Caenorhabditis elegans: one gene and its partner. The protein of the gene in region 2 purifies or fractionates together with the protein of the main gene of each other region. This does not show direct contact. Each region holds a gene or a part of one and is shown on either strand. Other genes may lie near its edges.

Evidence for each region.
Region 1: the proteins of T23H2.3 (region 2) and sip-1 fractionate together in Caenorhabditis elegans (co-fractionation; one large-scale study listed by BioGRID). This does not show direct contact.

What each region holds. Positions count from the first base shown.
Region 1 is NC_003281.10:10,505,510-10,508,861, forward strand, and holds sip-1 (Stress-induced protein 1), read right to left. Parts: upstream 1,293-3,352; 5' UTR 1,199-1,292; coding exon 921-1,198; intron 865-920; coding exon 663-864; 3' UTR 597-662; downstream 1-596. Other genes in the region: urm-1 (Ubiquitin-related modifier 1 homolog), read left to right, coding at 1-58, 109-323; sly-1 (Sec1 family domain-containing protein 1), read left to right, coding at 1,651-1,690, 1,745-1,806, 1,857-1,954, 2,006-2,219, 2,514-2,750, 3,351-3,352.
Region 2 is NC_003279.8:6,441,030-6,448,593, forward strand, and holds T23H2.3 (Transcription termination factor 2), read right to left. Parts: upstream 5,437-7,564; 5' UTR 5,436-5,436; coding exon 5,367-5,435; intron 5,316-5,366; coding exon 4,824-5,315; intron 4,514-4,823; coding exon 4,026-4,513; intron 3,417-4,025; coding exon 2,881-3,416; intron 2,538-2,880; coding exon 1,598-2,537; intron 1,397-1,597; coding exon 1,085-1,396; intron 1,007-1,084; coding exon 838-1,006; 3' UTR 615-837; downstream 1-614. Other genes in the region: npp-12 (BIG2 domain-containing protein), read left to right, coding at 6,303-6,457, 6,506-6,654, 6,697-7,061, 7,110-7,371, 7,418-7,564.

The DNA of each region.
Region 1 (3,352 bases), on a different chromosome or scaffold from region 2:
TCCGGCGGAGCCGAGTTTCTCGTCAAAGCAAAAGCACAAAAGGTTCAGATTCCGGCAGGTACTTGATTTTTGAATTTTAAAAACGAATTTTGACGATTTTTATTTCAGACTCTACACTCCGAGACGTGCTGAAATTTGTCCGGGACAACCTCGTCACGGATGTTCACCGGATAAATATGTTGCTCAACGATGACGCCAGCGAAGTTGCTCACGGAGTGATTACCCTTATCAATGACACGGATACCGGATTGCTGTTAGAATACGATACGGTTATTGAGGCAGGGGATACGATTACTTTTGTCTCGACGCTTCATGGTGGATGAACTCGGATTTTTGCTAATTGTTTTGTTTTTAAGCTGTTTTTTAAGTTGATAATGAATTTGAAATGTATCACTTCGAAATTAGTTAACAGAGCAGGTATCTTCAACGGACGAAGGTTGCTGAAACTTTCGACGAGCGGAACTTTCAAGGGGACTCATCTTAATCGAAGAAGAAAAAACGCTTCACAGAACGACAGTTTCTAGGCATTTCCAGAAAGATGGAAGAACTTTCGAAACCGAAGACTCCCCCCTGTACCCAAAACAAAAGAAAAACACTTTTTTTCTCATTTTACAGCTTTATTTTTGTCCTGGCAGTATGTAATCTAGAAAGTTGGGGGCAATTTAGTGCTTTCCGGTGGTGGTGGTGCTGGATGGCTTCTGGGTGACAGCGTGTCCAGCAGAAGTGTGGATTGGAAGAGCACGAACGGTGGTGTTGGAGCCGGTCTTTGGAGCATCGATGGTCATCTGTCCTTCCTTGTTGATGACGGTGTGGATGTGAGCCAAGTCGACGTCCTTTGGAAGAGTGAACTGGCGAGTGAACGATCTGAAAATTTTTAATTAATTTTAATTCCAATAAATGAAAAATAAAATAAAACCAACCTCTTGCTGAACCCGTGCTCGGTCTTGACCTCGTGGTGTCCCTCAATGGTGAGAACGTGTCCCTCAAGATTGACCTTCAACTCTTCCGGCTTGAACGCGGCGACGTCGAGCTTGACACAGAACTTCTGGGCGGTGTTCTCGACCTCGTTGAGCTGTTGTGGCACGATGTTGTTGAAGTTGTTGAGCATGCTGTGACGCTGAGCCCAGTATGGCATCATGTCCTCGAAGTCGCGGAAGAGTCCGGTTGGACGGCCAGTGTATGGGCAGAGAGAAGACATAGTTGAGTGAATAGGGTTAAGAATGAGGTGAAAAACGATGAACGTCTGAGGAAAATGGCAAAATCCGCGCCTTTTATACCCAATTTTTGTTTGTTGTTTGTTGTTGTTTACTTGTTTACATTTTTGTTGTTGTTTCGATGATCAGTGAGAGATCAAAATGTAGGTCAAACATTATATTTTACGAGAAATTGCGTATTTTAATAAAAATTATTTATTTTTTATCAGAATTTTGCATTTTTTTTTCTCTAAAATCTTTCTCTGAAAATTAAATTTTTCACACAATTCTGTTTTAAAATTCCGCTTTTCTTTTAAAAAAATGCATTGCACGCAAAATGCGCCAGTGTACACCGTTTGACACGCTTCTCGTCTTCTATTCTACGTGGCCGTAAATCTACACAGATTTTATCAGATAATTTTCCAGGGTTTTAAAAAATATTTTAACGAACAAAATTATGCCGGCGGAGCTGGAAAGCGTTCGAACGCGACAAATAGGTGAGAATTCATGCTTGATATGAATAAAATATAAATAAATCTCCATATTTTCAGTCGCTTTACGGACGATGATCAATTTGAATGAGCCCGTAGTCAATTCTGGAGTCAGAGAACCGGTAGGCCGATTTAAAATACCTGAAAAATCAAATTTATTGTGTGAATTTAGGTATGGAAAGTATTGGTGCTCGACAGAACCGGACAGGATATAATTTCGCCGCTTCTCCCAGTCAAACAGCTCAGAGAACTCGGAGTTACCCTTCATTTGTGCGATTTTAGCTAAAAAACTGCGCAGAAATTCAATTTTTCATATTGCAGATTGATCGGAGCCCGCCGTGAGCCGCTAACCGACGTTCCAGCTGTGTACTTCGTGTCGCCAAACGATGAGAATATTGATTTGATGAGTGAAGATCTCAAAAAAGCCATGTACGACTCGTTCTATTGCAATTTCATCTCCCCGTTGGCTCGTCCTCGTCTCGAATCGCTCGCTTCAGCTGCAGTACACGGGGGAGCAGTTTCACAAGTTCAAAAAGTGCGATAAAGAATTAAAAAATATATTTAATTCAGCATTAACTAGTCGAAAACCTTCTACATTCTTCATAACTTGTGCTGCAAAAACCATTATAAATCTCAAAATTGTGGTTTTTTTTCGGATTTTTTCTTGCAAAAAGTACAGAATTTTGAAAATTATCAACCTTTTTTCTTGATTCTAACAAAGTTTGTCGTAAAAACACTTATAAAATTGAATTTTGCACTAGTTTTTCAGCAAAAATAACTTTTTATTTCAAAAAAAAATTAGATTTTCCGACATTTTCAAAATTTCCAGGTAGTGGATCAATATCTCAACTTCATTTCCCTGGAAGATGATCTCTTTGTGCTCCGTCGTTACAGTGAAAATAGTACATTCTCATATCACGCAATGAATTCACCCGGAACATCCGATGTCGCCGTGAATGCGATGCTTGATTCCATTGCCGACGGACTTTTTGCAGTTTGTGCCACTATGGGAATTGTTCCGATTATTAGATGTCCGAAGGGAAATGCTGCTGAAATGGTGGCAAAAGTACGGTTATTATACTCAAAATGGCTCGAAAGTAGCGGATATTATAACAAAAATTCGGAGAAAATCGCTTGGTTTTCGCTAAAATTTCCAATTATGCCAATTTTTCGGTGCTGTGGCGTCTGGAAATTGATTTTTAATTGATTATTGGCATATTGTGCACGTTTTTTCGTTTATTTGGGTGTATTTAAAACCAATACGAAATTTTACAAAACTAGCAAATTTAGCAGGTTTTCCCAAAATTGTTCATTAAATTTTCTGATAAAAAATTGAAAAAAAAATTGTTTTATCTGAAAATACCTTTTATTTCATTAGGAAAAAAAAAATGAAAAGTGCTCAAAAATTGTCTGAAAGAGCACTCTTCCCATTGTTCCCACTAAAATAAAAGCTAAAGATAAAGCAAATATTTTTCCACAAAAACGCGCCAAGTAGGACAATATTCAATTAAAAAAAATTTCCAGCCGATATGACATCGAAAAATTTAAAAATTAAAGATTTTAGCCAAAAAATGTATTTTTCTGGAAATTTTAAAGAATTTTAGTTAAAAAATTTGATGTTTTAGGGTCATTTTCGGTATGATAAAGCGAATAAAAATTATTTCAGAA
Region 2 (7,564 bases):
CCCATCATGTTTTGTCAGATAATTATATTCATTTTAACATTTTAACATGAATTCTCTCTCTCTCACAGACACGTTGACATCTGAAACAGGCAATTAACATCATTTTTAATTTCAAATTCTTTTTTTATTTTTCGATGGAATAAAGATCCGTTCCAATTCTGTTATTTTATGGTTTTTTTCTTCTTGAATACTCTAGAACTTGTGATTGGGGATTTTTCTTTACGGTTCTTCAAGTACCCAAAATATTTTGAAATTCAGAAATATCAATTTTAAAATTGAAATCTCTTCTCAATTGAATTTTTTCATGTTTGAAATTCCTCCAAAATGACAAGCCACGTCCTCTTTATAACCAATCAGCGTATTCGAACTTTACCAGGGGCGGAGCTAATCATTGATTGATCTTGCAGTTTTCAATTAGGGGGAAGTTCAAATATTATGATCATGTAGAAATGCATTTGTATAAACGGTTACAATATTTTACCTACGATTCCTTAAAAAATACAAAAGCAATGTTATATATCGAAAATTCCCAGGTAACACACATTCACTAAATCGCTCATTTACTTATTTTTCTTTAATTGTTCTGACATAATAGAAGATATCACGAAAGAACCACACATTCATTTAAATCAATACTATTTTATAAAAGAAGAAAAAATACGAGCTGCTGAGGTCGGGATGGCATACACGTAAAAAATATCATTCTACCAGAGGAGAGCTAAAATTCCTTCTATCCTACATTTTAAGCTACAAAAAAAGTTAAAAATCCAGACTTTTTGGGAAACAATCTGGCGAAAAGAGGGGGGGGGGGGGGAATGGTTTGAAAAAAAGAAAAAATTAATTCGCATTGCTCGATCCGTCTAGTCCAAAGAGCATACGAATGTCGGCGGTGGTGAGCTTGTTCAATTTTCGGGTCGCTGTTCCTTCCAACACCGAAGCTGCCAATGCGAGCTTCTTCTCCTGGAGATCCATGACTCGTTGCTCGATGGTCCCCTTCACGATTAATCTGCAAAATTTTGAAATATTTAGTCTAAAAATATGTACATAGTATTTAGACACATAACATGATTTTTAAAAAAAGTACCTATGAATAAAGACTTCCTTCTTCTGTCCCATTCGATAAATTCTGTCACAAGCCTGCTGTTCCAGTGCGGGATTCCAGTGCAAATCAACCATAATCAGATGATTTCCTCCAATCAAATTGAGTCCAACACCTCCGGCAGTCAATGAGAGCAGCATCACCTGAGCTCCGCCTTTTTCCTGGTTGAAACTGTCAACTCGTTCTTGGCGATCTTTGACAAGAACCTGGCCGGTGATTGATGTATAGTTGTGGCCGCCTGCTTGAATATGCTTTTCCACAAGATTCAGCACAGAAGTCCACTGGGAGACAATCACACTGGAAATATTGATTTTTGAACATTTATTGTAGTTTTAAGGATTTTCTCTTCGGGACATATCCAGGTTGCATCATCAAATTGAATAATTTTTAACATTGATTTATTTTCAAAAAAAAAAATTAACTGTTCTGATTACTAGAATGTCAGTGTTTCTATCTTGAAATTTCATAGTATATCCTCAAAAAGAAAAAAAAAGGTACACTTTCTCCTTCTTCTCCAAAATTTCACGAACAACTTCCAGCGTTTTGGCCATCTTGCAGCTAATGAAATCGGGCTCAAAGATTCGCGTGGGTGGTTGTTTTGGCTCCTCCTTATTTGTATCGACGCCTTCCTCATCATTATCACTATCGGCAATCGTCAAATCCGCCATTGTCTTCTCCATAAGATTCTCCAACTCTTTCATATCAGCATCCTCGTCGTCTCCTCCGTTAATCTTGAATGCGTCCAAGTCCATTCCGCTTTTGGTGATATGAAAGTGAACACACGCTTGACGAAGACGCATCAGCAACAACAAAATGCATGACATATTCTGGAAATTCGAGTTTCCCGCCAAGTTCCGTGGCCCGACGTTGTACGGGTTCGCGAATTCATCATCATTTCCTCGTTGTCTGCGTCTACGAATCTGACCGTACTTTTGAATATCATCAGTATTAGTGACGATTTGCTTAACAAGCTTTTGTGCCGCCTCCATCATAATTGCATAGCCATTGGCTTCATCTCCAACCATCTCCAACTCATGGATCTCGATTTTCTTTTCTTTCAAGTTTACAATTTTCTTATTGGTCAGAGCGCACTGCTGATCCTTAGTTCTTCTGAGCATCAAATTTTTCGTCAGCAAATTCACACGATCCGCCATTCCAGTCTTCATTGGCATAATTGATTCGGCCCAGAACTTCCGATCGCCGAACAACGGGATACGCAAAAACCTCACGAGACTGTACAAATCCCATAGGTTATTGTGAATCGGAGTACCCGAGAGACACCAACGCGAGAATGATGAGAGCCGGCACACTGCTTTTGAACATTGGGAGAGACGATTTTTGATGGCATGAGCCTCGTCGAGAATCACACGGGACCAAGCGACACGAGCAAGAGGGGAGTCGTTTTTGCCAGCAGGGCGACGGGGATTTTCTTCGTTCTCTGGAAAAAATTAATGAAATCGCGGAAAATGGGTTCAAATTTCTGATTTATTTAAAAACATTGGCATTTCAAATTATAGAGTTTTTAGAAAAAACATATGCTGAGTTTTCACAAAAGCAAAATCGTTTTTGTAAGCAATCGATTATTGAATTGGAATGAAATTATACTTTCCAGAAAGTTCTTTTTTTAAAAGAAATAATACATTTCCTTGAAATAGATATTTTTCCCGAAAACTCCCACTTTTTTTGAAAAGAAAATAGTTTTTTTGGAACAAATAACTCATTTTCCAGGGAAATCGGATTGTGATCAAAATTCAGCTTGAATTCAGATTTAAAATTCGTACCTGATTCATCGTCGGAATCTTCCTCTTTCTTGGATCCAGCCGCCTTTTTCTCCATAAGCTCATTGGCTGCCAATGTGTACGTGGTGATGACGACATCATATCTTGCAAGCTCCTTTGGCTCAATTTGTCTCTGTTTCTTTGTTCCATGGAACATAAAAACGGAAAGCAAATCTGATTCGAGTCTTCGATTGATTTCAGCTTCCCATTGGTGAATAAGTGAAGCTGGTGCAATGATTAATGTGCCATTTGATGGATACAATCCTTCTTCTTTTGCCACTCTTCTCTTCTCCTTATCCGCGGCATTATCTCCAGACTCTTTCCGTGCTCTTCTCGCTGCCTTCTGATGCACAATCAATGATAACATTGATAAAGTCTTGCCAAGACCCATATCGTCTGCGAGGATCCCACCCGAATGTGGTTGACCCTCACGCCAGACAAGCCAGCGAAGCCCTGCTTTTTGGTGAGGCATTAGCTCGACGAGGAGCCCGTCGGGTGTGTCCGTGAGGTCTGTTTCAGCTGGGATTGTGTGAGTTGCGCTGAAAAAAGAAGAGATAATTTTAGAGAAGACCATTTTCTTACGGAAATTATATTAATTGTTAGATTATAATTTGAAGGAGAAGCACTATGTTGGGTTTTTGTTTCAAATGATGACTGTTAAAATTGAATTAAATATATTTCTACAATTTCAAATAAAAATCTAAAAAATGTCTGACTTGGCCGTTTTTCGACTGATTGGTTTTCCGGTTTTCGTTTTGTAATTAAAATTTCTTATTCGAATAGCTAATTGAAACACAAAAACAACGCAGAAAAACCGAAAATGTTTTTTGAAAACAAGAAAAGTTGTATTTTTAGTTATATTCGGCCAAAATATGGTATTTTCTATCATTAAAATTTCTATGGTCAAGTTTTTCAGCATGGCATCCACACAGCTTTTGGGAACTGTTTTCAAAAAAACTGTAAGAATCAAAAAAATTTGTTTTAAAATATCTGTTTCCAAGCCACGCCAATTTTTGTGAGCGTGGCTTATTAAAGTTTAAAGAACTTTTGGTTCCCTCAGAATCCACAAATACTCTTTTTTTTTCGTAAAATAGAACGAAGCCGTCAACTGAGACTCAATTTTCTAAGAAACTAAAATTTTTACGAACTCGGCGAGCTGTTGCATCAATCGATCGGAAATCTTATTGACTTTGAGAATTTTCTGCTCTGTCATCCGCCCGCTCATCACTTTTCGCCCATTCTTGTCCAACATCGCCGCGAAATCCTGTGGAATTGGAGCAATCAAGTTTTTTGGCTGTGGTGGCGGGGGAATAGCCGTGGTTTTGTCTACCACCATGGTATCCGTCACTCCATTGATAATTCTTCGTTCAATTTCTTCAGTAATTTCATCAACTTGTAGCTTCACACGTGCTCCATTGTCCGGCAAATTCGATGAAAACTTCAAAAGTTTCAACTTTTTATCTTTGTTTGCTTCCAGCTCTTTTATGCTCAACTTTTGGAGCTCTGAAGCAGTATTTTTTGGAGGAGACGGTTGAGGAGAAGCTTCAGGAGAACCTGGATACGGTGTTTGTGGAGAATTTCCAGAACTTGTTTCAACCGAGGGAAGAGTTGAACGGTTTGGCGGCGGAGAGGTATTCTGTAAATTTATATATTTTTTGACAATAAAGCTGAAATTTTGTGAAAATATCGAAAAAGAGGATATAGATAATAATATCAATTTACTATGTCACATACCGAAGCACTAGCCGATTCCGTTGGGCGAAAATTGGTTAAACACGTCAGACGTTGGCTTGAAAACTTGCAAAAAGTGATTTTCTCGCTTGAAAAATCGTTTTCTAGATAATTTCTGGCAAGTAAAATGTGAAATTTTGGATAAATATCGGAAAAAAGTAAAAGGAAATTTTGAATTTTGAGCCAGCTTTAGGTCAATGTTTCCCCATTCTTACCATTGAATCATCCAAATCGGAAGCATGCCGGAACGTCTTCGCAATTGGCGAAAAATGCGAATTTATGAGATCACTGCTTTCAAGACTGCTATTTTCACCAGTTCCCCATCCACTTCGCGATGAGCCACCTGTCAGATCTTGATCCGATTGCTGTTTGATGGATTTTCTGAGGAGCCGCTCACGGAGCTGCTGCTTTGCGCGGGGCTCATCGGATTCCTGTAGCTTCTTGGTGATCGGGGTCACTGGTTTTTCGAAGCTGTTGTCAATGAAGCTTCTCGAACGATAGTGATCGTCTGTGGAGCATTTAGAGCTCCCGTAGGTGGTGGAGGAACCGGTTCTGGAGATGCTCTGCTTGGAGTTTGGAGTTGATGTGTACACGGTTGAAGCCATGGAATTCAGAGAGGCATCAATAATTGTCCTGGGCGGCTCGGAGCTATCAGTTGATCTCATTGAAGCTGTTTCATCGACTTCAGATGAGGAGCTGTGTCTTTCCTGAAATTCAATAATTTTAAAGCAAAATTCAAATGTTAAACTCGAACAAACCTTGCGATCCTCGTCTTCCGACGAGTCTGAGGAATCAATAATGACGTGATTCTTACGAAACGATGCCATCCTGCAATAATTGTCGTGAAATAAAACAGTTCTGGCTTGAAAATATTGGAAAAAAGAACGTGTTAGGAAAATCTTAACGTAAAATACAAAATTGTGCCTTTAAAAGTGTTTTTCTGAAAACCCCACAAAAATTCAAGGAAAACTGCAAAAACATTTCTTCGCGCAAAAATGGAAGTGCAGTGGAGCGCGCTTGCAATAATTCGAGACAACACGGGTTTTCGTAAACCGGGTCTTGGAGACATAGAAACTCGAGAAGAAACGTCTCATTGTGCACTTTCTGAGCACGTTTTATTGAAAATATCATAAAGTAACTTAAAATAAATAACTGTCAAATAATTTCTGCTGATGAAAACACGTGTTGTCGCAATATGTGTCGAAATGAAAATATCAGGAAAAAACCATAACAAAGAGATCTACGAGCAAATTTGTTAGGTAAAATTTTTTTTGAGGTAATATGAATATATCTTTGATCGAGAAGGAAAAAAGCGCATTTTATTTCACGGTATTAATTTCATGTTTTTTCATGTTTTTTCCCCAATTACGCTTTTTCTTCAGATTCCGAATCTAGAATTATGAACTACGGTCACCAAATTGGTTCATTGTCGTGAAGAACCGCGCCGTGTTTGCGTACAACGAAATAATTTTGAATTTTTTCGCAGAATTTCAGTTTCTTTTTTCTTCAATCCGATCTGAGTTATCGCTAAATTTATTTTTTATTCTACTATTTATTTAATGCATGATCACTATAGTTAATTAACTTTAACTTTTATATTAAATACATAAATTTCTCTCATCTCCACCTGTTTTCCTTTTCCATAAGAGAAATTTTCATTAATTTTTTTGTAGGTAGGAGAGCCGAATAGATCAATGATTATACTTCGATCACTGCTCGTTTTGGCTTTAGTGCAAATCACAATATCATACCGGCTAAATGTTCCTCGAGTTTTATTACCGTACCATCCAACGGTCCCAGTTTCATTTGTGCTGGAAGTAACGCATCCAACCGGAGGTTGTTTTACATGGTAACTCAATGAAATGATCTAATTATTTTTTAATATATTTAATTGCAGGAGATCTACTCGTCCCGATATTGTCTCTGTTAAACGTATCGAAACTAACGAAGCTGGATGTTCGGATAAAGCTGAAATTCGATCGGTTGCGAAGCCTGGAACTGTTGGAAGTTCGGAATTGTCTGCTGTTATTTTTGCAGAAGATAAAGGTATAATTTTTGTGAAATGTTGGTTTTAAAATTTTTATTAAGGATCCGGCACAACATTGAGTTGCGGCGTGACAGTAGATGAGATCGCAACTATTAGCATCGAAACAACAACGAAAGTTCTATTCGTGGACGCTGCCCCTGCTCGAATGACTGTTGACGCATTTAACGCCGATGGCGATCGATTCTCTACTCTCAGTGAAATTGCATTGGAATGGGAGCTTGCATCAACATCTTCAAATAAAGCGAAACCACTACGAATTGTTCCATTCGAGCAATCAACATATGAAGCTCCTTCTGAAATTGTTAAACTGGAAAAGAATCGAAAGAAAGGATATCTAATTCTGATTGAAGGTGTTGGAACAGGAACAGCCACATTGACAACCAAGTTCAGTGATGCTTATTTGCAGGTGAGCAATCTGCAAAACTACATTTACCTAGGATGTTTTTTTTTTCAGAAAGTAGCAGCGCACAACGTCGAACTCGCCGTCGTCGCAAATTTACTTTTGGTTCCATCTCAAGATGTTTACTTGCCAGTTCACTCAGTTCTTCCATTCCAAGTTTTAATTGTCAAGCAGCGTGGAACAGAAATAGTGAACATGCCTAATCCGTCATACGAACTTCAAATTGATGGTGGTGATGTGGCGTCGCTCGATAAAAAAAGTTCATCTGTGAGAGCTCTGACGATTGGAAACACTGCAGTACATCTCTTGAGCAGCCGTGAGTTGCATAAATGGATGTTTCTCGTTCAAAAAGAATTTTTCAGATGTCGATGTGCGCGCTAAAGCTGGATTACGTCCACCATCTACTGTCATTCATGTGGTAGACGCCGAATCTGTCCAATGGCATGTTTCAGGAGATAATTGGATGCTAGAAACCGGAAAACAGTATACAATCAACGTTGAACTTCTTG